Diceros bicornis minor: one gene and its partners. The protein of the gene in region 1 purifies or fractionates together with the protein of each later gene. This does not show direct contact. Links are inferred from orthologs where the notes say so. Each region holds a gene or a part of one and is shown in the gene's direction. Other genes may lie near its edges. The genes, in order: HECTD1, URGCP, COPA and IQGAP1.

What was found.
Region 2: the proteins of HECTD1 (region 1) and URGCP purify together in Homo sapiens (affinity purification with mass spectrometry; 4 studies listed by BioGRID and IntAct, with this or other methods). This does not show direct contact. The link is inferred for Diceros bicornis minor from reciprocal best matches to the Homo sapiens genes HECTD1 and URGCP.
Region 3: the proteins of HECTD1 (region 1) and COPA purify together in Homo sapiens (affinity purification with mass spectrometry, with the first as the bait; 3 studies listed by BioGRID). This does not show direct contact. The link is inferred for Diceros bicornis minor from reciprocal best matches to the Homo sapiens genes HECTD1 and COPA.
Region 4: the proteins of HECTD1 (region 1) and IQGAP1 purify together in Homo sapiens (affinity purification with mass spectrometry; 3 studies listed by BioGRID, with this or other methods). This does not show direct contact. The link is inferred for Diceros bicornis minor from reciprocal best matches to the Homo sapiens genes HECTD1 and IQGAP1.

Annotation. Positions count from the first base shown.
Region 1 is NC_080744.1:17,489,387-17,497,356, forward strand, and holds the start of HECTD1 (E3 ubiquitin-protein ligase HECTD1), read left to right. Parts: upstream 1-4,957; 5' UTR 4,958-5,043; intron 5,044-5,476; exon of another isoform or gene 5,477-5,607; intron 5,608-6,284; 5' UTR 6,285-6,416; coding exon 6,417-6,556; intron 6,557-7,970. UniProt on the Homo sapiens protein: E3 ubiquitin-protein ligase which accepts ubiquitin from an E2 ubiquitin-conjugating enzyme in the form of a thioester and then directly transfers the ubiquitin to targeted substrates.
Region 2 is NC_080780.1:1,092,840-1,100,526, reverse strand, and holds the start of URGCP (up-regulator of cell proliferation), read left to right. Parts: upstream 1-4,672; 5' UTR 4,673-6,300; coding exon 6,301-6,314; intron 6,315-7,687. UniProt on the Homo sapiens protein: May be involved in cell cycle progression through the regulation of cyclin D1 expression. May participate in the development of hepatocellular carcinoma (HCC) by promoting hepatocellular growth and survival.
Region 3 is NC_080743.1:65,001,486-65,008,612, reverse strand, and holds the start of COPA (coatomer subunit alpha), read left to right. Parts: upstream 1-4,107; 5' UTR 4,108-4,208; coding exon 4,209-4,248; intron 4,249-7,127. Other genes in the region: NCSTN (nicastrin), read right to left, coding at 2,566-2,670, 3,899-3,983. UniProt on the Homo sapiens protein: The coatomer is a cytosolic protein complex that binds to dilysine motifs and reversibly associates with Golgi non-clathrin-coated vesicles, which further mediate biosynthetic protein transport from the ER, via the Golgi up to the trans Golgi network.
Region 4 is NC_080744.1:94,456,542-94,463,706, reverse strand, and holds the start of IQGAP1 (ras GTPase-activating-like protein IQGAP1), read left to right. Parts: upstream 1-4,155; 5' UTR 4,156-4,213; coding exon 4,214-4,268; intron 4,269-6,000; coding exon 6,001-6,100; intron 6,101-7,165. UniProt on the Homo sapiens protein: Plays a crucial role in regulating the dynamics and assembly of the actin cytoskeleton.

The DNA of each region.
Region 1 (7,970 bases):
TTGCAAATTATACATCTGACAAGGGACTTCTATTCAGAATACGTAAAGAATTCTTACAACTCAACAATGAAAAGACAAAGAACCCAATTTAAAAATGGGCAGAGGATCTGAATAGACATTTTTCAAAAGAAGATGTATGAATAGTCAATAAGCACATAAAAACTGCTCAACATGGTTAGCCATTAGGGAAATGCAAATCAAAATCACAATGAGATACTACTTCATACCCACTAGGATGGCTATAATAAAAAAGACAGATAATAACAAGGTAGAACCCTCATACACTGTTGGTGTAAATGGTACTGATGCTTTGGAAAACATTTGGTAGTTCCTCCAAAAGCTAAACTATGCGGCTCAACAATTCCACTCCTAGGTATATACCCAAGAGAATTGAAAACATATAAGTCTACCAAAAAATCTGTACATGAATGTTCACAGCAGCATTATTCATAATAGCCAAAAACTGGAAACAACGCAAATGTCCATGAACTGACGAATAAAGACAAAGTAGAATATCCATACAATGGAATATTGTTCAGCCATAAAAAGGAAGGAAGTTTTCACACATGCTACAATATAGATGAACCTCGAACACATACTGGTGAATGAAAGAAGCCAGATATAAAAGGCCACATACCATTTATATGAAATATCCAGAGTAGGTAAAAACAGAGAGATAGAAAGTAGATTAGTGATTTCCAGGGACTAGCGGTTGGAGAGAATGTGGAGTGACTGCCAATGGGTATGGGATTTCCTTTTAAGGGTGATGGAAATGTTCTGGAATTAGATAGTGGTAACTGATGCACAACTTTGTCAATATACTAAAAGCCACTGAACTGTACATGTTAAAATGATGAACATCATGGTATGTGAATTATATTTCAATAAAGCTGTTATTAGAAGTTTATATATACATATATGTGACGTGTACACATATATGTATATATAAACTTCATATACATATATACTTATACATATAAAAATATATACACTTGTGTATACATATTATGTACACATCAGAAAATTGAATATAAGCCTAAAGAAATTGAATAATAGGGCCGGCCCCATGGCTTAGCGGTTAAGTGCACGCGCTCCGCTGCTGGCGGCCCGGGTTTGGATCCCGGGCATGCACCGACGCACTGCTTCTCCGGCCATGCTGAGGCCACGTCCCACATACAGCAACTAGAAGGCTGTGCAACTATGACATACAACTATCTACTGGGGCTTTGGGGGGAAAAAATAAATAAATAAAAAATTAAAAAAAAAAAGAAATTGAATAATAAAAAACTTTGAAATCACAGTCATGATGATTTTCAAAGAAAAACTAGTACAGATAACATTTCCTTGAAAGCTTGGTGGTTAATTTCCTTGGTCAAGAAGCTCCCTGCCTTAACCTCTAGAATACCTCAGTATATCCACATTCCCACGTTAATAATACATACATCTAGTCTGCGGGTGTTATCAAGCCATTTGCATTTACCTAGTAAATCACACACTATTCCCCAGGCTCCACATTTACATTAAATTCCGATTTACGTTCCTGGGTCTTAAAGACAAGGATTCAGATAATCTATGGCAAATGACCTCCAGGGAAGTAAAAGATAATTTTGGTTTTGAATGACCTAGATGGATTTGTCTCCTAAGCAGCTTTACTTGAATAACTGCTCACCTCTCGAACTCTGCTATGGCAGACACATAATCTCTGAGAGTAGAAGTTTAATCCTCATGGCTGAAGTAAAGCAGCTAGTTTTCCAGGCTCAGCTAATTTAAACCTGGCCCTCAGGCTTCTTTAGCTAGCTGATAAAAGGGATCAAAACGATTCCCTGAATAACACGTGAGTTTGGATGGGGATGGGTAGATGAATTTTGGACTTTGGTGATGTAAGAAGTCCAAGAAAAGGGCTTAAGACTTGTTTAATGTCATACTAACTTCATATTGTTTACTAATATGATCACAAACTGTAATATATATGATTTTACATGTTTATGCCTAGAAAAAAGGCCATAGAAACGTTATCAAAGTGTTAATGACAGTCTCACGGTGGTAGGTGATTATTATTTTTTCTTTTTACTCTATTGGAATTTTCCATTGGATGCTTTTGATACATAAAAAATTTAATGCCATATAGTTGTGTTATCCATAAGATAATGATTTATTTAAAAAATTAATTTATAGTAATGCCTGTGGGTGGGATAAGAGTTTAAATGTAAATGATGAATCTCTTCCTTCTTGATCTTGTGAAAGGACTCTAGTGACTGTGTGTATATTGAAGATCCTTCGTGAAAGTGAGGCCTACCTCAAAAGGTGGCCTGTTCCCTCTGCTCGCCCAAGAGGAGCCCTCTTCATACTTCCATGCCTCTCCACATGGTCTTCCTAATGGAGACCTAATGGAGTTGGTCTGGCTAGCTCCAACTCAACATCTGAGATCCAGCCCGCGCATCATTTTCGAAGCCTTCTAAGACACCATTACCTCCTTGATGTTTCCAGCGTACCTGACAATGTTATGGGATAAGTACTATCGTAGAGGCCGACACGGGAAGTGTGTTTACATCTACCCTCTCCTAGACTTTTATAGTTTATTGAAGATGAGGCCTATGAGTTACTGTGCCTGGCACATAAAAATTCTCAATGTCCATTATTCTTAGATTTTAACATTGAGGTGGATTATTAGCATGTAAACATATCCTGGTTTCCTGGGATATAGATTCAAGTAGGGGCAGTATTGCCTTCATCTGCTTCCTCTGTTTTCTTCAGGGCTTAATTCCTTTCCTTTAATGCTCTTGTTCTAGGATCTCATATTTGAATTTAAGATAATAATGTCATAATAAAATCACAATAAAAGTCACAGCATTTTCTTGATAGATTTCTTTAAAGCATACCACAGTCATTAATTTTGGGGGGGGGGTAGGAAGTGGGTGGTGCAGATAGAGATGGTGAGGGAATAAAGGAAAATATACCTTCAAAACTTTGAAAAGTGTAGTCACTTTTTCCAACTTCTCTATTTTCTGTTAATAGCATCATCATTTCCCTAGCTTCCAAGACCTTTCTGCAGGTTAAAAAACTAATTGAAGTTAATCATTTAAATTTTGACATATCTTTAAAAAAAATTTTTTTTAGATGTATTTCTTCTCCATTCTTATTGCCAGTAACTAGGCTCTTCCTCCATCCACTATTGGAGGATTTCAGCAACCTCTCAGCTAATCTCCTTGTCTAGGTAGCTCCTTTTAGCCACTGGACATTTTTGCCCTAGAAATCTTTCTAAGACTTAATTTTTCCAGTCAATGTTCTAGTCCACTGTTACTAGTAACTTGTAGTAACTTGTTACTTACTCCAGCCTAAATTCTGCATTCAGCATTCAGCATTCAAGGCCCTGCTTACTTTAGCTGCTACCTTCTCTCCCTCCCATTGCTTAATGCAGGTGCTTTGCTTGGGGCACAGGGCCTCTTTCCTTTGTCTCAGAACATACCAGGCTTTGTATTCTTCCCCCTCCCTGTAGTGTCGACATTCTACCCATTCTTCAAGGTCCAGAAAGAATGCCACTTCCTCCTTGAAGATTTTCCTGGCAGCTCCAAGTCATATTCATAGCTCCCAAATAATTATTCTCATGTGTTGTAGTTGTGACAAGTTAGTAGAATCCTCTACCTTTTTCTCCTGACTTGATCTGTTAATAGGTGACCTAGGGACCATTACCTGCGACAGTAGCACATGTGCCACAGATATGTGAAGTGCAAATCTGTAATTTCCAAAATACTGGTTCTTCAAGCATATGCAGCAGCTCCTCCGATTGCTTAAAGGAATACATCTCAAAGACTATCGTGTAAGATTCATTTTTGTTTAAAAGATGAAAAAGTGAGAGTACAGCGGGAGTGTCTGAGGCATGGATTTACTTATCTCACAAACCAAGGGATTCATTTTCTTATTTGACTCACATTTCCAATTCATTACAGCTTAAACACCTCCAACCACGACCTATAAGCAGGCATATTTTATTTTCAATTCGTGTAAACTAAAACGTTTGAAGGGAATAACCACGGACACATTTGAGACCTCAACCCGCAGAAAAAAAGAGTCAAAAGCACACTCAGCGCTGCTGCTCACTGGGGACGCCAGTGGAATTTACGGTTTCTGGAGCCTCAGTTCTCCCATCTGCACAATGGCGATAACACTCGATAATATTTACTTCCGAGGGTTGTGGTGAAAGCTTTTCTTCCTGGCGAACTGCGGCGCGGTCTGCTTTTCCTCTCGCGACGCACTTCCGTGTGCGCGAGGCCAGGCGAGGCCCGGCGGGGAGGAGGCGACGCTCTTGGCGGAGGACCGGTCGCCGCGGCCGGAGGCTCGGCCGGCGCGGGTTGGGCCGCAGCGTTGGCGCGCAGCGTGGGGCCTTCGGCGGGAGCACGCCAAGTGTGTAGACGCCGTGCAAAACAAGCGGAGCGTGCGCGCGCCGGTGTGCGCGGGGCCCGGGAGCGCGCTCGGATTGACAGCGAAGCGTAAAGGCGCCAGGGCATCGGAGAGACAAGCGACAGCTGGCGAGGCCAGCGAGCCCGAGGCTCGGTGGCCAGAGCGCCCGGGCCGGCGCCCCCGCGCCGCTGGCCGACGGGTCTCCGCAGCGCCCCTCGTGGCGGCCGGCGGGGTCGCTGCCAAGGAGCGTCGCTTTGCTCCGCCCCCGCCGAGCTCGGCTGCCCTCCGCAGCCTCCGCGCCCGGACCCTCTTCCCTTCCCCCTCCGGAATCGCGATGGACGCGGCCTCCCGCCGCCGCCGCCGCCGGCAGCACCGCGCGGGCCTCTGAGCTGCAGGGCCTGAGGAGCCGCGTGCTGGGGACGGGAAGTGCGCTGGCGGCCGCCGGTCGGGGGAACCTCTCGCTTGCCTGTCACCGGCTCCCCGCGGAGGAAGGGGAGGGACGAGGCGCGGCTTTTCCTGTGCCGCCTGCCCGGCTCGAGCTGCGCGGCCTGCGGCTTCCTGGGAACTCGAGGGCCGCGGCCGGGCCTGGCTCTGCCCGCGGCCTGCTCGGAGCTGGACCGGAGCGCTTTGGGACGACAGGCCCGGGTAAGAGCCGGAGGGGAGGGAAGGCGGGAGCGCCGTGGGCGGTCGGAAGGGCCAGGCCTGGGGCCGGGATCCGGGGATGCCCGGCGGCGGGCCGGGAGCGAGACCCCGGCCCCGGGTGAGGGCGGCGGGGCTGCTGCCGACTCCCTGGCTTAGCCCCTTTGTTCCCCTCCCCCGGCCCTGCCCGCGGCGGGGCCCGGCTTGCCTGAGCCCGGGCCCAAGACGGGCCCCCCTTGCCCTTGAGAAGGGTTCGCCTCCCGGCCGGCCCGGGGACGTCCCGCCGGGCCTCGGAGTTCCGGGCGCCGCTCGGCCCGGAGGCTGGCTGCTTCTCCTCCAGAACTTCCCCTCCTCCCCGATACGGGGAGCTAACTTAGCGGGGTTGGTGCCGGGAAACCAGGGCGCGGGGCTTCGCCTCCCGGCGCGGGGCTCGGCCGGGCCCGGGGTGTTGGGTCACCCTGCTGGCCGCCGCCGTTGGGTGCCCACCGCGCCCCGCCGCTGGAGTCCCACACCTGCAGCTGGGTACGCGGGCCCCGAAGCTGTCCTCCCGCCGGGCGCTTCCGAGCTTTTGTAAGCACTTGCCTGTTGGGGCTGCTTCTCTGTTTTGTCTCTTTTCTTAGCCAACTGTCCCATTCTGTAGAGATGGGGAGAGAGGGCCGTAGATTGGCCTATACTCTGATCCGTAACGTGCTATTCCCTTGCATTTGCTCTTAGTGATTCTTTTTAAACTTTTAAGAACAGTTGCCAAGACTGCCAAAATTCCTAACCAAGCCTTTAGTCATAGATAGATTTGGTGTCTAATTATCGTTTGTATGTGGGGTGGACATCTTAAGAAGAGCGGTAAGTTAAGTCGTCAGCAGGTTTTGTCAATTTTAAAGCAGCAACTTAATTTGAAGGGGGATTGGATCAAAGTGCTTAGTTTCCTCAAAATACTGAATCTAACCCTTATCTGAAGATCTGTTTTGGGTTGGACGGGAGAAGTTTGCTGGAAAAAAAAGAACCTTTAGTAAGGTGTTCTTTGCCTTTTGGCACAGAAGTTAGTGATAGCAGTAGTGGGATCCGAAGCTTGACTGACAAAGACTGCTCTGGTTTCCAGTTAAGCAACAACCTAATCAGTTTATACTCTTGTGCAAAACTGGTTTTTAGTTAGTATGATAAGTGAACGGTAAACCTGAGGAATAAGGAAAGTTGAAAAACTGCATTAAGCGCTCTATCCAAACATACTTATGAGTTTTCTCTAATTCTAGGAGGACACCACGAAAATTTGGTTCTAGCTGATGTAAAAGAAAACTTTTTAAACCCAAGCTGATCAGTCCTGGACATTTAAAGGACTTTTTACTTTACTTTTTTAATTTAAGCAAAAAGGCTTTTAAAAAACCATGGCAGATGTGGATCCAGATACGTTGCTGGAATGGCTACAGATGGGACAGGGAGATGAAAGGGACATGCAACTAATAGCCCTTGAACAGCTATGCATGCTGCTTTTGATGTCTGACAACGTGGATCGTTGTTTTGAAACGTAAGTACATCCCTTCATCATCTTCCTTTGGGGTTACTGTAGTGCCATCTGTTTTCAACCATTTGCTGACTTCAGTTTGTGAGGAATTTTCTCTAGTGAGTTTTACAGCTATCTTTTTAAAAGTTTCTGCAGTTTTGCAGTTAAAACTTTTCTGAGAAATAAAAACTGGTAGGTGAAGTAACTCCAGTAATGATAATTGTGATGACACAAATACACGTTTGTTGAATGAGTAGAAATTAGTAGAAAATACTAATTTTAATGCATAGCTTGGTTGATTCATTTTCAAAATATGTTATGAACTGGGAAAATATAAATACTTATCTTCTTTAAAGGTAGCTATTTCTGTACCAAGAAATTGACTTGAAATTTTTGGCGTGAAAATACAGATGATAATAAACTTATGTTTTATGACTGCTTGTTTCTTCCTTGGTGTTAAGTCATGACGTTGTACTTTTGTTAAAGCAAATCATTGGTTTGTAAATTTCAGTTTGGAGGGTATAAGTTGGATGTTACCCAAATAGCATCCTTTTGGAATAGTAGAAACAGATTTTGAAGTTTGGAGAGTTTAAACGATTTTATTAAGAGGTTATAATGTAGAATTTGTGCAGAAATGTAAAAGAGAATTCGTCACTGGATTGGCTATTAATGCCATGTTTTTCCTCTTATGTAATACTTGTTTGATTAACCATTCTTCTGAGTGCTCAACACGTTTCGTTTTTACTGTTTATTTTATATTTGTATTTATAATTGTGAATTCCAGTTATAAGTAAATGAAAACTCAGATGTTTCTGTATTTTAATGCTATTTTAAAGTATTTAGTAGAAAATGCTTGAGATGTTGACATAAAATTTGGTATAATTATCTTAATTTTTTTGAGGTGGAAATAAAGGCTGTATTACTAAATTAACATTATTTTAATTGTCTTCATTTTTGAATGAATAGTGAATGGAGATGAATTGATAAACAATAATTCTTAGCTGTAAATCTCATTAAAACAGTACTATTATGATAAAAGTCTTTATAAACAGTTGCCAAATCACAATCTGTTAGTGTCCCATTTTTTTGTGTGTGTGAGGAAGATCAGTCCTGAGCTAACATCCGATGCCAATCCTCTTTTTTTTTGCTGAGGAAGATTGGCCCTGGGCTGACATCTGTGCCCATCTTCCTCTACTTTATATGGGACACTGCCACAGCATGGCTTGACCAGCAGTGTGTCAGTGCATGCCCGGGCTCCGAACCTGCGAACCCCGGGCCACTGAAGTGGAGTGCGAGCACTTAACCACTGCGCCACCAGACTGGCCCCTGTTAGTGTCCCATTTGTTTCAACTAGTTTTTGTTATTGACAAACTTTGAGTATATAATAATTTAGCCCCTCCATTGACACTTGTTTTAGCAGGATGCGTGGAAAAGTGAG
Region 2 (7,687 bases), on another chromosome or scaffold:
TATTTATTTATTTATTTGAGGAAGATGAGCCCTGAGCTAACATCCGTGCTAATCCTCCTCTTTTTGCTGAGGAAGACCGGCTCTGAGCTAACATCTACTACCAATCCTCCTCCTTTTTTTCCTCCTAATGCCCCAGTAGATAGTTGTATGTCATAGTTGCACATCTTTCTAGTTGCTGTATGTGGGACGCAGCCTCAGCGTGGCCGGAGAAGCAGTGCGTTGGTGCACACCCGGGATCCGAACCCGGGCCGCCAGTAGCGGAGCGTACGCACTTAACTGCCAAGCCACAGGGCTGGCCCTATAGCTTTTAAATGGCTAGAACTACTGTACTACTCTGTGTGTGTGTGTGTGTGTGTGAGAGAGAGAGAGAGAGAGAGAGAGAGAGGGAGAGGGAGAGGAAGAGAGGGAGGGGGAGGGGGAGGGGGGAGAGAGAGAGAGAGAGAGAAAGACCAGCTCTGAGCTAACATTTGTTGCCAATCCTCCTCTTTTTGCTGAGGAAGATTGGCCCTGGGCTAACATCCATGCCCGTCTTCCTCTACTTTATATGTGGAATGCCTGCCACAGCATGGCTTGATAAGCGGTGCATAGGTCCGTGCCCAGGATCTGAATCTGTGAACCCCAGGCTGCTGAAGTGGAGCGGGCAAACAACCACTACACCAGTGGGCCAGCCCCACTATTAATCTATTTTTGCTTTTGTTGCCTGTGCTTTTGGTGTCATATACAAGAAATCATTGCCAAGTCCAATATTTAGCTTTTTCCCTATGTTTTCTTCTACGAATTTTATAGTTTCTGGTTTTATGTTTATGTTTTTAATCCATTTTGAGTTGATGTTTGTATATGGTGTAAGATAAGGATCCAACTTCATTCTTCTGCCTGTGGATATCCAATCCAGTTTTCCCATCACAGTTTATTGAAGAGACTATTCTTTCCCCATTTTGTGTTCTTGGTACCCTTCTCAAAGATCAGTTGATTGTTAATGCATGGACTTATTTCTGGGCTCTCTATTCTTACTATAGCTTTATAATATATTTTGAAATCAGGAAGTGTGATGCCTCTAGCTTTGTTCTTCTTGCTCAAAATTGTTTTCACCATTCAGGGTCCTTTGTGGTTCCAAATGAATTCTAGGATTCTTTTTTTCTATTTTTTTTTTGGTAAGGAAGAGTGACCCTGAGCTAACGTCCATTGCCAATCTTCCTCTTTTTGCTGAGGAAGATTAGACTTGAGCTAACATCTGTGCCCATCTTCCTTTATTTTGTATGTAGGATGCCACCACAGCATGGCTTGATGAGCGGTGCGTACCTGGGATTCAAACATGCGAACCCCAGGCTGCTGAAGCAAAGCCTGCCAAACTTAACCACTAGTCCACTGGATTGGCCCCCTCTATTTTTTTTTTTTTTTTTTTTTGGTGAGGAAGATTGGCCCTGAGCTAACATCTGTGCCCGTCTTTCCTCTTATTTTCTATGTGGGATGCTGCCACAGCATGGCTTGACGAGTGGGATAGGTCCATGCCTGGGATTCAGACCCACGAACCCCTGGGCCACTGAAGCAAAGCATGCCAAACTTAACCACTACACCAAGGGGCCGGCCCCTATTTTTTCTTTTTTTTTTTTTTTTGTAAAGACTGCCATTGGGATTTTGATAGGGGTTTCACTGAAACTGTAGATCACTTTGGGTAGTATGGACATTTTAACAATGTTAATTCCTTCAATCCATGAACATGGGGTGTCTTTCCATTTGCTTTTGTCTTCTTTAATATCTTTCATCAATGTTGTATAGTTTTCAGTGTACAAGTCTTTCACCTCCTTGGTTAAGTTTATTCCTAAGTATTTTATTCTTTTTGATGTTATTGTAAATAAGATTGTTTTCTTAGTTTCCTTTTTGGGTAGGTTGTTGTTTGTGTATATAAGTGCAACTGATTTTTGTATGTTGATTTTTGTATCCTGCAATTTTACTGAATTCATTTATTGGTTCTAGTAGATTTTTTGTGTTTGTGGAGTCTTTAGAGTTTTCTACATGGAAGATCATGTCATCTACAGAGATAATGTTACTTCTTCCTTTCTGATTTGGATGCCTTTTATTTCTTTTTCTTGCTTAATTGCTGTGTCTAGGACTTACAGCACTATGTTGAAGGAGAAGAAAGAGTGGGCATCCTTGCCTTGTTCTGGATTTTGTAGGGAAAGCTTTCAGCTTTTCATCATTGAGTATAATATTAGCTGTGGCTTTTCATAAATGGCCTTTATTGTGTTAACGTAAGTTCTTTCTATACCTATTTTGTTGACAGTTTTTATCATGAAAGTGTGTTGAATTTTGTCAAATGCCTTTTCTGCATCTACTGAGATGATCATGTGATTTTTATTCTTCATTCTGTTAATGTGGTGTATCACATTGATTGATTTGCATAATTTAAACCATCCTTGCATCCCAGGGCTAAATCTTCCTTTTTCATGGTGTGTGATCCTTTTAATATGCTGTTTAATCCAGTTTGCTACTATTTGGTGAGGATTTTTCATCTGTTTATTGGGGATGACTGTCTTTGTTCTCTCACTGAGTTTAAGAAAATTCTTTTGCGTTCTTTGTCAAGTAGTTCATGGACTTCTATTTCTTTAGGGTTAGTTACTGGAGCTTTATTAGGTTTCTTTGTGGTATTATATTTGCATGGTTCTTTGTGATCCTTCTGGCTTTGGGTTGGTATCTGTGCATTTGAAGAAGCAGTACCTTTTCTAGTCTTTATTGACTGGTGTCAGCAGGGCAAGACCTCTTCAGTCAGCCTGGTTAGAGATTCTGGGTGGGCTGGCTGATGGCTCTATGGATGGACCTACTGCTGAGGTCTGTGGCCAGGCCTGCTGCAAGTGTTAACATGTGTGTGGCCTGCTGCCATTGTCATAACTGATCTTTGTGTGTTGATTTTGTCATCTGCAACTTTGCTGAATTTGTTTATTAGGTCTAACAGGTTTTTGTTGTTGTTGTTTGGGTTTTGTGGAATCTTTAGGGCTTTGTACACATATGATCATGTCATCTACAGAGATAATTTTACTTCTTCTTTTTCAATTTGCATACTCTTTATTTCTATTTATTGTCTAATTGCTCTGGCTAGGATTTCCAGTACTGTGTTGAACAGATGTGGCAAAAGTGAGCATCCTTTTCTTGTTTCTGTTTTAGGGAAAAACTTTCAGGCCTTCACCACTGAGTATGGGATTTTCATATATGGCCTTTATTAGGTTGAAGAAGTTTCCTTCTATTCCTAGTTTGAGAGTTTTTGTCATGAAAGGTCATTGAATTTTGTCAAGTGCTTTTTCTGCGTGAATTGAGATGATCATGTGTTTTTTTTTCTTCATCATATTGATGTATATATTACATCAATCAATTTTCATATGTTGAACCATCCTTGCATTCCAGGAATAAGTCCTGCTTGGTCATGGTGTATAATCCTTTTCTATGTTTCTGGATCCTGTTTGCTAGTATTTTGTTGAGGATTTTTCTATCAATATTCATAAAGGATGTTGGTCTGTAGTTTTCTTGTAGTGTCTTTGTTTGGCTTTGGTATCAGGGTAATTACCTCATAGAATGAGAAATGCTCCTTAATTTTTTTGAAGAGTTGGAGAAGGATTGGTGTTAATTCTTCTTTAAATATTTGGTAGAATTCACCAGTGAAGCCATCTGGTCCACAGTTTTCTCTGTTGGGAGGTTTTTTGATTACTAATTCAATGTCTTTACTTGTTGTAGAGCTATTCAGATTACTTATTTCTTCATTATTCAGTTATGGTTGATCGTGTGTTTCTAGAAAGCTATTTTTTCCCTTAGGTTATCCGCTTTGTTGGTGTACAACTGTTCATAGTATTCTCTAACAGTTCTTTTTATTTCTGTAAAATCAGTAGTAATGTCCCCACTTTCCTTTCTGATTTTAGTAATTTGAGTCTTCTGTTTTTCTTAGTGAGTTTAGCTAAAGGTTTGTTAATTTTGTTGATCTTTTCAAAGAATCAACTTTTTATTTCATTGATTTTTCTCTATTGTTTTTGTATTCTCTATTTTATTTTTGTCTGCTCTAATCTTTAATATTTCCTTCCTTTTGCTAGCTTTGGGTTTGGTTTGCTCTTCATTTTTTTGTTCCTTAAGGCATAGAGTTTATTGATTTAAGATCTTTCTTCTTTTTTTTTTTTTTTATTTTTTATAATTTTATTTATTTGTTTTTTCCCCCAAAGCCCCAGTAGATAGTTGTATGTCATAGCTGCACATCCTTCTAGTTGCTGTATGTGGGACACGGCCTCAGCATGGCCAGAGAAGCAGTGTGTCAGTGCGCGCCCGGGATCCGAACCTGGGCCGCCAGCAGCGGAGCGCGCACACTTAACCACTAAGCCACGGGGCCGCCCCTCTTCTTTTTTAATGTAGATATTTACAGGTATAAAATTCCCTCTTAGCACTAATTTTGCTGCCTCACATAAGTTTTGGTATGTTGTGTTTTTATTTTTATTTTTGTCAAAGTATTTTCTAATTTCCTTGTGATTTATTCTTTAATCCATCAGTTGTTTGAGAGTGTGTTGTTTAATTTCCACATATTTGTGAATTTTACAGTTTTCCTTCTATTTTTGGTGTCTAGTTTTATTCTATTGTAATCAGAAAAGATACTTTGTATGATTTAAATCTTGTTAAATTTATTAAGACTTATTTTGTGGTCTAACATATGGTCTATCCTGGAGAATGTTCCATTTGCACTTGAGAAGAATGTGTGTTCGGCTGTGAAATGCCACATACTCACTAAAACATGTTGAGGAAGAATATTTAATTTCAGTGAACATATATTACTTATTTTTAAATATATTTTAAAACAAAGTTTATTTAAAAATATTATCTGACCTCCCTCACTCCAGTGGCAATCATTGCTGCCTTCAATCAGGCCATTTAGTGGTTGCCCACTCCCCAAACTCTTTCTAACCCTAGTCCTCTTGGATTTATACCTAAATTGGGTCTAATAAGCCCCTGTGGCTTTACTTATCAGCTCACATTGACAGAGCATTAATTGTTTTCTGAACTCAAGACAACAATTGCGACCTTCTATTTTACTGAAGGGAACAAGGATGGATTCTCAGGGAAGGAAAGAGACCATGTACCTGGCAATGTATTAATCACTTTACACATATTAACTCATTCAACCCTCAGAGAGAGGAAGGAACAACCCATTATTATCCCTATTTTTCAAATGAGGAAACTATGGCTCTGGGAAGGTTCTACCTTGCCTGAGGTTCCAGAGCTGGTAATTAGCTGAGCCCAGATTTCAACCCAGGTATTCTGGTTCCAGAGCCAAGGCTTTCAGTCACTGCTTTGTTGTCTCTTATTCTAATTGGTAAAAATAATAACATAATGATTAATTATATTTAATATAACAAAAATGTGATCAACAGTGGTTTATATTGTTCAGAGATTTTTGTTAAGCGTTTTCACTTACAAGAGCTCAATTACTTCTGAAAACTCATTTTGCTGAGACAGGAACTGAGGCTCAAGCACCCACAAGTGATGCTGTGAAACACCAATGCAGGAATTCCAGACTCATTATTATTGCTTAATAATGCAACATAAATAATAAAAGTGCCCACAGTCCTTAGGGCTCCACAATGTGATTTTACACACATTTTACGGGGGTAACTGGCTCGGAGAGGCCAGCAACTTGTACAAGACAGCACAGCAAGTAAGAAATAGCAAAGCTGTTGTTTTGCTTAATAATAATAACAACGCCTTGTAGTCCTGGACTAAGGAAAGGCTTTTCTTACGGAAATTAAACTCAAATCGCAGGGAGGTGTTGACTTCACCAAAATCCGGCAGCTGCGTCGTGGCCCGAGGGCAGGTTTTCGGCTGGTTTTGCACCAGAGGAGCCTCCTGGCGAGTCCCGGAGATTGAGCACCTGGGGCACCTGGGCAGGTGGGCGGGTCCGCGCTGCAGGCCGACGTGGGCCGCCCCACGCCCCCGGTGCCAACCCCGTGCTCCCCTCGCCCCTGCCGCCCCGAGCTGACCCCAGGCCCACTCACATCCCGTCCCCCGCCTCCCCGAGCCGATACCCGGCCGCACCCCTATCGTACAACGGGCCCACTCACAGGCCTTCTCGGGTCGACTCCAGGCCCCCGGCCCGCGCTCCCCAGCCCCCTCCGCGTGTCCCTGGCCCCCTCCCTGCACCCCCGGCCCCTCCCCGAGCCCCGCCGCCTGGAGCGGCCCGGGCGGTCGGTCGGTGGCCGGCGCGAGGCTCCTCCCCGGCGGAGTCGCTCTGCGCGGAGGAAGCGGAGGCGGCGGCAGCGCCGAGACCTCGCCGCGCTCATGGCGTCGCCCGGGTGAGTGCGGCGCTCGGGGCCGCGCCGGGGTCGGGGCTGCGGGCTGCGAGGTGGGGGCTGCGGGGGCGGGCCTCCCCCCGGCCTGCGGGACCCCCGGCCCCCCGGCCCTGGGCCCCTGCCGCCCTCCAGGCCCCGGGCCCGCTCCCGCCGACCTTGGGCGGACGCGGCCGGGCGGGGGGCTGCGGGGGCGCGGGCGGAGGAGAGCGGCGCGCGGGCGGGATCCGGGGGCGCCGGGGCCAGGGCCGGGGGAGGGCGGGCAGGGCGGCGCGGCCCCCGGCGCCCCAGGCCTCGGAGCCGCTCCGCCCCGGGCGCCGGGTGTCGGCGGGCGCCTGCCGCCCGGCCCTCGGTCTGTGTTTTTTCCACTTGCTCGCGTCGGAGTTGATGCTGGGTTCTCACCGCCGTCGGGACGTGGCCTGAACGTTAGGAGCGAGGGCTGGGGGCACCCCGCGCCGGCCCGGTCCGGGGCGCCTGGTCGGCCGGGCCGCGGGCCCTGGTGGGATGGCTGCCCCTATTCTGACATCAGCTCTCTTTTACTGTCTTCGTATTAACGTGTTCCTTTTAGCGAATAATGATGACAGAGTTGTCATTTTTTTTTTAGATCCTTATTTGCGAAATAAAACCTCAGCGTTTCATTATGATTACTTTTTGTTTTGGTAATTTAGCTAGTCATGAAAGCTGGGAATGAAAGAATTGATCCAACATCTTCACTTCACAGAGGAGGAAAATTAGTCTCAAGGTCATTGCTTTAGTTGGTAAAATTCTTCGTTTGACTGTTGTCTACCATTCAGAGGGTCTTAGAGTAGTGGCTGTGATAGCAATTCAAATTGTACATCTTTACATTTCACGAAGAGCATTTACAGTTGTCGAGGCCTGTGTGGTAGAGATGATGGATAGCAGGCCTCTTACAGGTGAGGCCTGAGCCATGCCATGGAGTGAACTGGCTCAGTGCAGTGGGCCTTAATGGAGCAGCCTGGATTTGACTCCAGCCAAGTCATGGGCGTTTTCCATCTACTTGCTGTCTTTCTAGGTTTGGGGAGCAGTGCTCACGAAATACCCAGTACTTTGAGCTCATAAATAGAGTAAACAGCAGCCCATCCCTCAGAAGACCAGCCTGATTCACCCAGGGGTTCAAGGTCCCGCTGTGTTACTGCCCCTCTTGTCAGGAAAGGGTGAGGCAGGGCCCCCTGGAGGCAGCAGGGGTGGCTGAGCCTATGTGGGGCTGCCATGAGGCCCTTTAAAAGAAATGGTGCATTTGGTGTCCAAGCCCACAACTTTGTAGATATGGGTCAGGAGTAGACTTGTTTCTGGGCTGGTATGCCCCTCTGTGAGCCAATAGACCCTAAACTGTGTCCCTGTAGGTGGCATTAATGCAG
Region 3 (7,127 bases), on another chromosome or scaffold:
CAAGATGCCATACAAATAACATTTTCTATGTCTCATGACATGACAAAGATTGGGAAGCACTGCACTAGAGGATGGATGATCTCCAGTCCAGAATGACTTGAGTTCTATGTAGCAATACCCCTCAAGTCCCCAGTGATCCATATAGAGACATTCTAGGGTCTCCCCATGAGTCTTATCCCCACTCAAAATTGGATGTGTTATTCATAAACTGTTTTAGAGCAGTAGTTCTCAACCCTGGCTGTGTATCAGAATATCACTCTGGAGTTTTAAAAAATACAGATACTTGGGCCTTACCTCAGATTTATTAAATTAAAATCTCTTAAGGTGAGGCCCAGGTAAGTGTTATTTTCAAAACAGGCTACATGTGGTTCTTTATTATACACAGCCAGGCATGAGAATTATGGCTCTAAAACCAAGGTACTGAAAACTTATAACCTGCATGAGACAAAAAGCGTAAGTACTTTTAGACTGCCAGCCAAGTAGAATTTTTCTCCCACGGGATCTGGTAAAATCTAGACATGGAAGCAGATCCTAAACATTGAACTATGTCTTATATATAGTAAATACTTAATAAGTTTATGTTGATAGTGATGATAATAAAATATAGAGAAATATCAGAATCTGGAATAACTTTAGTAAAGATCTAGCTACCAATGGCAGTCCCAAGTAAAACAAAAGACAACAGTTATTGCCACAGCATTTAAAACACAGGAAAAGGAAAAACTAGTCTGGCAAATAAAAAATATATAACTTCAGCTTCCAGGAGGACAGGAAGACAAGCTATGACACTGGACTGAAAAAATCTGGATTCTAATCTGGATTCCAGTTGGTAACTGTGTAGTCTTAAGTAACTTGCTTACTTTCTCTAGGGCTTCAATGAGGAGAAGCTTTTCCACCCCTATTCATCTCAGACTGTGCGGACAGATTAAAAAAGGAAAGAAAGAAAGGAAAAGAAAAGAAAAGAAACCCACATATAGCCCCCTTTGGGCACTTTAAAGGGGTCTAATAGAAACAGAGCATTATAATCAGAAAATCAAACCTGGGTCTTTTTCTCCTTAATTTTATCATGTTAGAAACCCTAAGTAAAGAGGGTATAGCTTGCTCAGGATGGACAAATACGATGAAGTAAGACTTAGAAATAAGTAGGTTGAAAAGGAAACAAGATCTTAATGAGGAAGTGGCCAGAGTCCAGCCCCTCCCCTCTTGTTTCTCTGTACTGGCACTTGGCTTTATCTCTAGAGGCTATTGCTTTGCTTCCCACAGGGCTGCTGCTCTAAGAACATGCAGCAGAATGACTCATTCTCAAAGAGGATATCTTAGAGCCCAGCTCCAGGAGGATAGGGTCGTAGCCTTTTGCACGAGAGTGGGATTCCAGCAAGACCAATAGTCTGATCTCAGCCCACACTGGACATGGCTCCCTTCTCCTCACAAACCCAGTTTAAGAACTAAATCCAACAAAAAATTTTATTTGGAACCAGTTAGCCTACTCTCAGTACTTCCTGTAACAGGGACGCGGGGCAATTAACATAGAGTATAGCTCATGGAAGGAAGCGTAGAAAAGTAGTAACTGCCACCTTGAGCGAGTCCTTCACTTCCCAGTGCCTCAGTTTTTTCCCACGAAATTGGAAGGTTTCACGCAATCATACAGTACTGCTGAGACCACACTACTTACTCAGCATCATCAATCAACATCTATTAAAGGCAGTTCAACTTTCAGCTTTGTGCAGGTATATTCTAACCATTTTTATAGGAGTAAACTGAAATTCAGAGGTGACCTATTTGAGGCTGAAGCAGCCAAGAGCTGAGTCTAAGTTTCCTGCTTACCTGCAAACTACATTCTGACAGAGCAACTAGCCACAGAAGAACAAAATCTGAAGAGAGCGGGTTAAGCAGCAGAGGAACCAGGATTCAGCCTTCAGATCACAACTTTTTCCCCTTTTATAGTTTTATAACCATGTTGTCATGGTACTCTGTTTTGGAACACCTTTACAAAGCATAAAGACAAATCTAAATGTTTCACTAATTCCTCTTGCAACAATTTGGCTTTCTCAATGCCTTCCCTTCAAATAGTTTACTGCCTTAAAGAAGCCCATCTTGGTTCCAAAAAGATCATTCAGAGTACGGATGATGACTGGACTCCACAGAATACGAGACTTCTTTCTGCTTAGGAAACAGTATAGTTTGCTACTTAACCTACTGGCTGGTTAAAACTTGGACCACCAGGGCTCACATCCTGGCTTCATTACTTATTGTCAGGATGATCTCGGAAGTTCCTCAACTTCTCCAAGTCTCAGTTTCATCATTTGTAAGATGAAGATAATAATAGAACCTACTTCATGGGGTTGTTGTGAGTTAAATAACATGCACGTGTAAGACACTTAATATGCAGCATTCACTAAATGTTAGCTCTTATTATCTTGCCTGGTTTGACAAATGGTTCTCTATTACCTCCAACCCACATAGCCTAATTTGTGTGTGCAGACTCCCAAGCAGGACTTGGATCTTTATATCTGGGGCCGACTGAAACATCAACAGTCACAAACACAAATCCCAACCTCAACTCACACTGGCAGCCAATCTGATGAGTGGCGTTGAGCAGACGAACACAGGGAGCTGTTTTATTTAAGGGGATGTAGATCTTCCTCTCCACTGAGTTTCCCCCACACAAACCTGATCAGAAGATAAAACGTGTTAGAAGAAAACAAGAGACATTGGTACCAGCCTCTATCATGTCATTAGCTCGCTGGACTGCTTGGGTATATCATACTTTCTAAAATGGGACTAATGTCCATTCTTCTTACTTCTTGGGCACATTATTGGAAAGATAAATGCACTCAGCTGTTTGCCTCAGAGGGTTACTACAAATTCCACATAGAGCAATTGACAATGAAGCTAAAAGACAGAAAATTTGGTTTGTCAAAGGAAAGGCAATTTAACCACAGATGTACTAGCTTTTGGTTGCACGGGTGACCACACTTCTGCTTTTCTATCCTGTATGTATATTACTAATTAGTTAATAAAAGAGTGCCAGTCTACGAACATAGATTAAAATAAAAAAATCTTTCTGAGACGTTTTTCCAGGAGTCTGAAGAGAACTGGGAGAAACCTTACACCACACACCTGTCAGTTACTCTAACATCAGTAGGTCATCCATGTGTGCCCACAGTGTGGGGCAGCTATAGTTTCTCCTTTGGAGATCTTTAAAAACAATGTAAGTTTGGGGGAAGGTAGGTCAGGGTTATAAACAGGCATGTTTATATTTTAGGGCTTGACCAACTAGAAAGCCATATATCAGAAAATAAATGTGTGTAAGCAAACACTTATGCACATTGTAAATGCCTAAAGTTCCCTGAATCATTCTTTCATGGTCTAAACAGTTAAGAGTACCCATATCCTATCTTTGTCTCACTTGCCTGACGAGACAAACTGAGGCAAAGCACAGAGACGCGGGTTTACAGTGGAATCAACAAACGAAGAAACGAAAATCTACTTTCCTAAGAGTCACACTGCGCACACACACAACCAGGCTGCTTTCAGAAAGTCTAAACGCGCTGAGAAGTGAAGCTGAACTCTGATAATGTCCGTTTTGATTGTAGGTGGGCTGACTGGGGCCACGGGGACAATGAGGCATCTGGATAAAGGGGGAGAGAGTCGGGCTGGAAGTCCAGGAAGAGGCCTGGAGGAGGAAATGGGGCGACATGACGTGCCGCAGGGGAAAAAGGACCTTCAGGTCCAGGCAAAGGGGGAACTTCTGTCGTGGGAACGAAAGAGAAGACGGATTTAGAGGGTGGGGGGACAGAGGGGCAGCGGAAACCAGAAGAAAGACAGCGGCGCTTGCGGTTGGGCCGATCCGGAGGGTTCTCCTTACACTGGAGCTCATGGGCGGGGAAGGCCTCACCTGCCAGTAGGACGCAGAAAGACAGAAGGCGAAGAAAACCTCGACTTCGCGGGTCAGCCACAGAGCCACCCCCCGCCGTGGCCATCTTGCCTCTCGGCTGAGCGGAAGCCTCGGTTCCCCTCTGGTCCAGCAGCGGCCTCTCTAGGCCAACACTGGCGCCGTCTCTGTGGCCCGGAGTTCCTCGGACCGGAAGTTGGTATCCGTGGAGCTTCCGGGAGCCGCTGCTGAGGGGCGCTGACGTGGAGGCAACCGAAGGGCGGCAGGGAGCGGTGGGGCTCTGATTAGCACCTTGGAGCCCGAGGCCTGAAGGATGCTAACCAAATTCGAGACCAAGAGCGCGCGAGTCAAAGGTAGTGAGAAGAAAAGGGGGAGTATGGAGGCTCGGTGTCAGGGGCGGCGCTCTCACGGGGGAAGAGAGAGAGGGTTGACGTGCCGGCCGAATTGGGCCCACCGTACGAACCCCGAGGAAAGTGGGAGGGAGGGAAAGTGGGAGGGAGGGAGGGAGGCTAGGCCTGGCAGGCGGTTCTCCAGTCCTCTCTTCTTTGTTGTGTCCTTGGGATTTGATTTATCTGTAGTGGTTCCCGCGTGGCAGGAGGGCCCTTAGCCCGCTTCCTATTCTTTCCCCTTCCCTCCTCTCCTAGGGCCTGTGCTCCCGTCATTTATTCTTCTGCTCTCAAGGCCCTGTGTGTTGGCTTTTTGACGACCGTGTTGTAAGGAGTGGCCCTGGGGATTGAGGATCGACCTCTACAATTCGCGTCTAAGTCAGCTTTTTCGGAGGCGAGCACTGGCTACTTCTCTTAAGGAGCCCTTGGCTGCACCATATCAACATCTAGTGCCACCACTGGGCTTTATTTCCTACCTGGAAACAGGACATTGAGGCCTGTAACCCCAGTAAAATCTGAGCTTGATAAGGTTGCCAGGTAAAATACAGGAAGTCTAGTTACATTTGAATTTCAGGTAATCAACAAGTAATTTTTTTAGTATTGCTCGTTGTTTATCTGAAATTCAAATTTAACTGGGAATCTTTATTTTTATTTCCTAAATATGGCAACTCTAGAGCTTGAGTATCAATGGATGGGGGTGGAGGGCAAATAACTGAAATCACTGTAGTAGTCTCCTAGAATGGTAGGGTGGGAAAGGCGGGGAAGTAAGGTCTCCTGAGACTTAAAAAAAGAAAACAACAACAAAAAAATATATATATATCTTGAACATTTAATGAGATGTAGCATAGCAAAGTGGTTAGAAACTTGGTGTTTGGAGTCAGATAGGCTTGCTTTGGAATCCTGAAACATCTACTAACAAGCTGTGTGACCTTGGACAAATTGCTTAACATTTCTAAATCTCTATTTTCTCATCTGTAAAATGTGAATAATTAACATTCTCTTATAGAGAGAATTAAAACGAGAAGGTATATGAAAAGTGCTTATTACAGTGCCTGGCGTAGACTCAGTAGCTCAAAAACTGGAGGTCATTATTAATGTGAGAAGAGATTCTGAGCAGTTTTTAAATGTCATGAGAATCTTGATCATGAAGAGTATCCTTAAGAATTCCTGGATGGTTGAAATGGGTCTTCATAATCCTTGAGTTTTCTCTTCTGCTCCTAACTTCTTGTTGGGTAGTAGAGAAAGAAAGTGGGAAAAAAAAGATGTCAGAATATTTGAGAGTTAATATCCATTAATGAGTATTTCTATATATCATAAAGGAAAAAAAACAACCTAATGGAACAGTAGACAATTTAGAAGAATGTAAATATTCAATGAAAGTAAATGAAAATGTTCTCCACTTTACTAGTAGTGAAAGAAATGCAAAAAAAAAAAGTGAGAATACCTTTTTTTCGGTCTTAAGTTAGTAAAACAAACAAAACAACAGATAAGTGATAACCTCTCACATTGGCCAAGGTGTGCAATATGGGTACCTTCAGAAACTTGGTGAGACTGTAATTGATAGTCTTTTTGCAGTCAGATAGTATCTACCGAAATGTTAAATGCACATATGCTATTCCTGAGCAATCCCACTTCCAGGTCTTTAGCCTAAAGCAATAATAATGCAAATAGGCTAGAATATGTGTGGAAGTGTCTTCATTAGGCCCAGTATTCTGATAGACAAAAGTTAGGGAAAAAAACGTAAAAGCCCATCAGTAGAATAATTTAAAAATATGATTCATTTGTACCTTGCAGTTTTTAAAAAGAATGAGGTTATGTTTATATGTACTTAAGTGTAATGAGATCCATGATATATAGTTAAGTGAGAAAAGAAGTTTGCAGAACATTATAATATTATCTCCATTTTAGTAAAGTGATATGGTCTGCATTAAAAATCTGAAAGGATACACTCCAAAATGTTAGCAGTAGTGACTTCTGTGGACTTCCGTTTCCAATCATAACGGAGTAACAGAGACCAGATTTATCTCACCACCTTAAACAACTGCACAACTGAACCGAATGTGGGAAATGAAGGTTTTCAGATGTTGGATGACAGGCAGTGAAGGAGAGTGATTCTTGAGAGAAGGGAATTAAACAAGATGAGTCCTATGATTGTTTTAGCTTACTACCTGGAGAGAGTTTCCAGGCTGCAATATAGGGAGGTGGGAAGAGCCCAGTGGTCTCACTGAGGAGACAGAATTTAAAGTTCAGGGAAGACAAGACAGCTAGAGTTTGCTGGGCAAAATACCAGAGAAGAGGGAGCTGCACAGAGAACCCTGGAGTTCTGCAGGGGATCCTGTCAGGGCTTTGTCTGAGGACTAATCTGCACATGCTTGTGAGGAAAAGTCCCAAAGCCTGGGAAAGAACCACTGGAGAGGAGAAGGTAGAACAATCTCTGGCGCTCACATAGAGCTGGGAATAGCTTGTGTTCCTAGCAGCCAGAATGGAAAGACCTCCTAATACTACAGGGCATCACATGGAGACCTCAGATGGGTGTTGCCTTAATAGTGGTGCCAAATTAGACCTAGTCTAAAGGCTGCTGGGGCCCCACCCTAACAAAACTTAAAAGGAAACCTCAGAAGGATCAGCTGATTCCAGGTAACTTAACTGCATCTTAAAACAAAGCCCAACAATATTTAAAGGAATATAACAAAAATCCAGCACCTAATAACAAAATTCATAATGTCTGGCATCCAAAGAATGAATGTATGAACCTAGGATTAACCTAGCTTTTTCTTTTTCATGTCAGAATTGACAGGAGGTGAAATTATGGGGCTTACTTAGCTTATTGGATCATTTGCTCTTTT
Region 4 (7,165 bases), about 77 Mb from region 1:
ACTGTTAATGTATTGGTGTATAGGCTTCAAGGCTTTTTTCTATTCATATGCACATCTATATCTATCTATATGTTTTTAAAGCAAAAATGGTATCATAATATGTTTATTAGTTCATAATTTGCTTTTTTTTCCACTTAACCATCATATTAGGAATATTGATCATTGTTTGCCTACCCAGCCTCCCATTGAAGGAAATAATGCCCAGCTCACAGTTTTCTATCCTTAATTGGCTGTATTTCCTGACCACAGCTAATTGAACTAAAGGATTGGCATCTGATCCAAGGGCAGCCCACTTGTGGGCATTCAGAAACATACACATGGGGTGAAGAGATGAGCTGGGCCAATCATATGCCACTGGGTTACGGGAATTGGGCAACTGAGATTATCCTCAAAGGAGCTGATGGTGTAAGGATGTCATGGCCCAAGGCCATGGCAAGCCAAATAGAAGCCAGAGTTGTGACGGAGCAGAAAATATTAGAATTGATGAAGCTGGTTGCCGAAGAGAGGAGGGTAAGAGCAGACCTGTGGAGAAGCAGATATACCCAGAGGGACAGAGCCCTGCCTTCAAGCTTCCGTTAGTCCTGTTTTTTCTTGCTCTAGTTCCAATCCATATATATCTTTATTAGAAATACCTCCCTTCCAGGCTTTTTTCCTCTAGAGGTAAAACAAGTGGGTCTCCATTCCTTGTAGCCAGGCAAGCCTGACCAGAACCACAAATCATCACTATTATGACTGTATAGCGTTCCATTGTGTGGAGGTGCCATCACTGATTTAAAAACCTAGTGGTGGGCTTTTAAGACATTTCCAATGTGCATCTTCATCACTAATTTTTGCACATTAAAAAATAATTTTGGGGGCTGGCCGGGTGGCGCAAGCGGTTAAGTGTGCACGCTCCGCTGCGGCTGCCCGGGGTTCGCCGGTTCAGATCCCAGGCGCACACCAAGGCACCACTTGTCAGGCCATGCTGTGGCGGTGTCCCATATAAAGTAGAGGAAGATGGGCATGGATGTTAGCCCAGGTCAGTCTTCCTCAGCAAAAAGAGGAGGATTGGCAGATGTTAGCTCAGGGCCAATCTTCCTCACACACACAAAAAATAATAATAATTTTGTTATGATATATTCTTTTAAAGAAGTGGAATTCTTTGAAAGATTGCTACATAAATGCTAAGTTGGACTTCAGAAAGATTGTATCAATTTACAGCCCAACCAGCAGTGCATGAGAGTGGTTGCTTTTTCAACCCTTTGCCAATAATATCAATTAAAACAAAACATTGCTACTCTGATAGGCAAGAAGTGGTAAGTGGCCAGTTATGATCTTAATGTTCATTTCTCTGAATCTTGTGTTTATTGACCAGGCACGTAGGCTTTGTCACTAGACAAACCTGGGTTTGAGTTCCAGCTCTGCCTCTTGCTGTGTGACCTCAGTTGAGTTAGTTCTCCATTTTCTCATCTGTAAATTGGAGATAATAACAGTTCTTACTCTGTAGGATTATTATGAGGCTCAGATGAGAAAATAAATACAAAACAGTCCAGTAACGCCTCAGTACATTTCAGTTATTATAGTTATGAAGTATGAATTAATTTGTGACCATCAGATAAAGCAATGTGAGCTATCTGAAACTCAATAGGATATTGATTTAAATACCTGTTAGAGGGCCGGCCCCGTGGCTTAGCAGTTAAGTGCTCGCGCTCCGGGCGCGCAGCGACGCACCGCTTCTCCGGCCATGGCCATGCTGAGGCCGAGTCCCACATACAGCAACTGGAAGGATGTGCAACTATGACGTACAACTATCTACTGGGGCTTTGGGGGAAAAATAAATAAATTAAAAAAATTATAAAAAAAAATACCTGTTAGAATTGTATGGTCCTAGGAATAAGAAAAAATGCAAGAGGCCAACAGGTTCATAATCTTTATCGTTAGAGAGAAAATACATTTACATGTTTGGATTCCATCCATTTACACAGGTCTTTAGAATTAAAATAAAAACACAATGTACATATCTTAAAAGCCAAGAAATATAAAATAAAATCAAAAGATAAACTGTGTAGGACTTGCAGATTTCTCAGAGTAGTTAGAGGATGAGGTAACGAGTTTTGAAGACCATGACATAATATAAAAAGGGGCTCAAAATGACAGTTGACGCAGTGAGAAGAATGGCTCTAAAAGTCTGTGCCTCCAGGACTTATGTCTGGTAGAAATGTCTGATCGAAAGTAATCTTAGTTAACTAGGTTGGAAACTGGCTTTCTTAGCAGCTCTGTGTCTTTCAACTCAGAGAAGCTTTAGAATTAAATACAGAAAGGCTTAATGGGGTAAAAACTGTGGGATTAATATGTTGGTGTTAAGAAGAAATATGTGCATATTTCACATTTCATGAACTTGCAATCTTTAAGAAATTTTGGCTTATTAGAGTGACAGCCTTATAATTCATTTTAAATGTATAATTGAGTTAGTTTTAGACTTAAGATTTTGAGTTGAAATCTTACTAAGTTTACACTTGGAACTGGGCTAAGAAAACTTTGGATTCATTATATTTGTACGTTTACTTGATTTATAAGGATTACTAAACTCTGAAAGGTTCTAGATTAGATAACTGAAGAAATTAAAAAGAAAATCTAAGATATTTTTATGGACATAATTTTAAATGTTTGAAGATGTTGGATTAACTAAGTTTGTGAATGGGACCAAAAATTATTCAAAGTTTCTGAAAAGTGGTAAAATATGCTAGACATAACTAGAATAAAATTTGTAAGCTGAACTTAAAAGCTTAAGAAAGAACTAACTTTTGAATTTGTTGTAAATTAAACCTTTGCCCATTTTTTAATGGGGGTGTTTTGTTCTTATGTTTTTAAGCAACTCACTTTAGTACTTTGAAGGAAGAGTGGATAAATTGAAAACAGCTAGAGCAAAAAGCCTGGAGTCAGGTTGTGAAGGGGCTTATTTGGCATGCTAAGGAACTTGGACCATAACCCGAAGGGAGTAATAGGAAAAAATATAAAAAGGAATAACACAACTGCGTTTGCACCTTAGAAAGAACATGCTGTTGACTGTGAGGAGCTAGTTGGCAGAACGGAGAATAGAGATAACGACAATCTGAACTGTGTAATCACAGTGGAGATAGAGACAAAAGCAAGACACTTCAGAAGCAATACCGATTGGATTTAGGGCACGAGGCAAGGAGACTGGCGTGTCCCGGCTGCGAACTGAGCACTTCTGTTAGTAGAGAATATAGCAGGAGCAGGGGCAGTTTCGACACGTTAAATTTGAAGTGTCTGCGGGATTCAGAGGTGAAAATGTCCATTACACAGCTGAAAATATTGAGTTAGGGCTTCTAGAGGGTCTGGTCTGGAGCTATATATATTTAGGGCTCTTCAGCAGTTCAAGGTGAGCACAGATCAAGTTACCAAGAGTGGGCAAAGAAGAGGACTGACCGAATTCTGCTGAATACCAACATTTTAGGGGCAGGCCACAAAGTGCAAGAGGAAGAGGCATCCCTAAAAGGGGCAAGGAATCCCCTAAAAAGAAGAACTTAACAGTGGCAGGAAATCCAAGGCAAGGAAGTTTGGACAAACACTGTTCTCCTGCTTTAGCACCCACTTCTCAAATACTTGGGGGGTGGAGGAGTCCAAATCTGGCGACTGCTGGCGAATCTAGGAGAGGACTGAAGCCAGACTGCCAGACTGTGAGGTCCCTTATGGCAGTTTGTGTCCTGCTTGTGTCCAGCAAGAACACGCTAGGGCACTTCAACAGACGCCTTCCTTGAGCTCTTTGGCGCAGAGGAATTTATATGGGCAGGCAGTGGAAGGGGAAGGCCCACGTTTTCTATTTCAAGCAACCGACACCGTTGGCCTTTTTGTCCGAGGCGCGGCCGGGGCGGCGGCCGGGGACGCAAAGGCTCCAGGGCAGGGGCGGACCTTCCCCACCAAGCGGAGCTCGTCGCACCTCGATTGGCAGCCGGGCTCCGCCTCCTTCCTTCCACCTCCCGGGACCGTGCGCGCGCAGGGCGGGGCCGGGCGGCTCTGCCCCGCCCCCTTCCGCCCGCTCCCGTCAGCGCGGCAGGGTGGGGCCGCTGGGGTGGGGCCTGCGGGTGGGGCGGTGGCGCGGGGCGGGGCCTCCGGGAGCAGGGCAGCCCGCGCACTCTGCAGCAGCTGCCGCCGCCGTCGCCCGCGCCTCCGAGGTCTCACCTCTTCCTCAGCAGACCCGGGCTCGGCCGCCATGTCCGCCGCGGACGAGGTTGACGGGCTGGGCGTGGCCCGGCCGCACTATGGCTGTAAGTGCGGGGCTCCGCGGCGCGGGGGTTTCGGGCCGGGCTCGCTGCCTCCGAGGTGCCCTTTCCCCGGGGAGTCGGCCAGCCGGGTGGGGCAGGGCGGCTGCGGGCCGCGCGGACCCGGAAGAGCCGGGCGGCGGGCGGCGGCGGGCTGGAGGGGTGGCGGGCGGCGAGGCCCCGGGCCCGCGCCCCCGGTCTCCGAGGCGGCGGGGAGGACCGGGCGCGGGGGCTGGAGGGCCCCACCCAGCGCCTCTCGCCTGCCGCTCGACCGAGATTGGGGAGCCGGCCCTGGGTGAGGTGGCAGGCGGACGCCGCAGGGCGTGTCCCGGGGCCGGGGAGCGGAGACGGGGCCTCTGCTCGGCCTCGTGGGAAGGTGCTGCCTGCGAGGTGGACCCGGCGTCCATACCTGCCCGGCCCCAGGCTAGCCGAGAGGTGTGGCCCTGGTCAAGTCACTTCAGCTTTCGTGGGCTTAGTTCCCTCGTCAGGATTTCAAAAAAAAAAAAAAAAACCCACCTCTGACTTCCTCATTTTCTGTTGCTGTCCCTAGGACATCATTGGATCAGGCGGCATAGTTACCAAAGGCGAGTCCTTTGGAGTCTTGAGGTTTTCAGTTTTATGTTCTGGGACTAATGTTCTGTTTTTAGGATAATTGCACTCAACAGTTATCTGTGAGGTCTTGTGTCACGTTTGTGAAATTAAACATGAGTAAGACTAGGCCCTGCCTTCAAAGAACGTTTTCATTAGAGAGACAAACAGGCGTACAACCTAATGCTAATAAGGTGTAGTGAAGATAAAAGATGCAGTGAACTAACTAGGCATAAACAGTACCCTGAGTGGGGGGAGGAGCGTGGGGAAGGCAGGAGGAACACAGGGAGTGACGTTCTGACGGAGCCTGTCTTCAAGGATGCTGTGTAAAGTTTGACAGGGCAGGGTGGGCCAGGAGACATGACGAAGAGAGAAGAGTATAAACTCTTCTAAGGCGTTGAAGAGTGGAAGGGTGCTGTGTGTGACAGGAACTGAGTGGTGTGGAGTGCACAGTGGTGGGAGGAAGAACAGGGAGAGGGAGGAGAGTTTCCAAAAATAGTTGGCGCTAAATTGGGAAAGGCCTTGAATGCCATCCCAAGGAGTTAGGAATTTATTCCATACGTTGGTGCTCATGAAGGAGGTTGATTGCAGAGGTTAAGCTCACAGGCTTTTGAGACACTGCCTGGGTTTGGATCCAGGCCCCATCATTTATTAGCTGTGGGGCTAAGATCACCCAGCCTCAGTTTTCTCATCTATAAAATGAGAGTGACAGTTACAGGCTAGTGAGGCTTCAATGAGAGAATGCATGTAAACTGCTTAGCCTTATTACTGCCACTTAGTTCTTAATGACTGCTGGCTTTGGTTGTTAATAAAAGAGGGAGATACCATGATCAGCTCTGTACTTAGAGCTAGTCTGGCAGATAGACGAGGACAAATTTGGGCCAAAATCTCAAGTCAGTATTTTTCAAGTTACACTGAATTTTAGTACATGTTCATATTACCATACTTTTTAAAAAAGGGTAAGATGAGTATAGTTGAAACCCCGTAATTCCTGTTTTAGGACAGTCATTGTTGTACACCTGGCTACCCACACATCCACAGGTTACCCTGAGTCTCTAGGTGACTAGCAGGAATTTGATGCTGTGGCATTCTTTTATCGCTTGGGAAGGTTACAGATTCTTATGTTTACATTCTTTCTTTCATGTTTTAGCTGTCCTGGATAATGAGAGACTCACGGCAGAGGAGATGGATGAAAGGAGACGTCAGAATGTGGCTTATGAGTACCTTTGTCATTTGGAAGAAGCAAAGAGGTAAAGATTGGCTGGCTGGAGAGAAGACTGGGAGAAGGGAGCTGATATGGTGTGAACACAGATAAAGATCTCTTTGAATGTGTTGTAGGTGTGACTGTGGGAGGCTGGTAGTTTGAAGGAATAAGTATAGTTAGGGTATTTATTCATGGGAGCAAGTAGCCTTGATAGCAGTTTATCGTGAAACATTGATGGGCACTTACATATACTGAAAAATTTCCAGATTTGTGTTGTTCAGTTTCATGCTTATGATGCGTGTTTTGGGCACTGCCAGTTGTAGGGAAGAAATAGCGTTTTTAGTGTTTGAAATTCTTGGCCTTTATGTTTCACTGGTTTCTCACTGGTTTTGATTTATATGAATTGGGTCCATTCTCCCCTGGGTAATGCTCTGGGTATAGGTCCTCTATTTGGCAATGTTAAAAGACGGTTTACCAAAGGCAGCATCCTCTGCATTCTTTGTGAAGTGAATGTACAGCTGCTGTTTTCTGATACTCCCAGACCTTGTGGTCTTATTGTTAGAGTGTCAATTTGCTATCAGTGGTTCATTTCTTTTGTTCTGGTGCTTGTGTTCCTTTGCAAGGTCCCAGGGTAGATAGATGTAATTACAGATCATTTATCCTATAAGTGAGCTTTGGTGGAAAAGGCCAGCAAGGGCTAATCAAGGGTATTGGTGATCAAAGTCTACTGAAAATCAAGGATGTTTCAAATGGTGCTAATAAACAAGAGTGTTTTGGTAATTCTGAAGATCTTAAAACGCTACAGGAAAGTCCAGAGAACAAAACAACAAACATCCATGTATTCCAGAACTAACAACTGTTAGCCCTTCAGATCTTTCCCTTTCCTCTTAAAAGACATGGAGTCCTTTTTGTGCCTCTCTCTGGTCCCAGTCTCCTCCTTCCCATCCTTGGGCCTACCACTAACATGCATTTGGTGTGTCTTCTTGATTCCAGGCTTCTTTTCTGAGCTTAAAGCCCTTCCATTAGACTGGGGAAGGGGGACTGGGATTAGTGATGATTTAGGTGGGGAGAATGATAATAACACTTGTTTTTGTAAATGGAAGGTTAGACA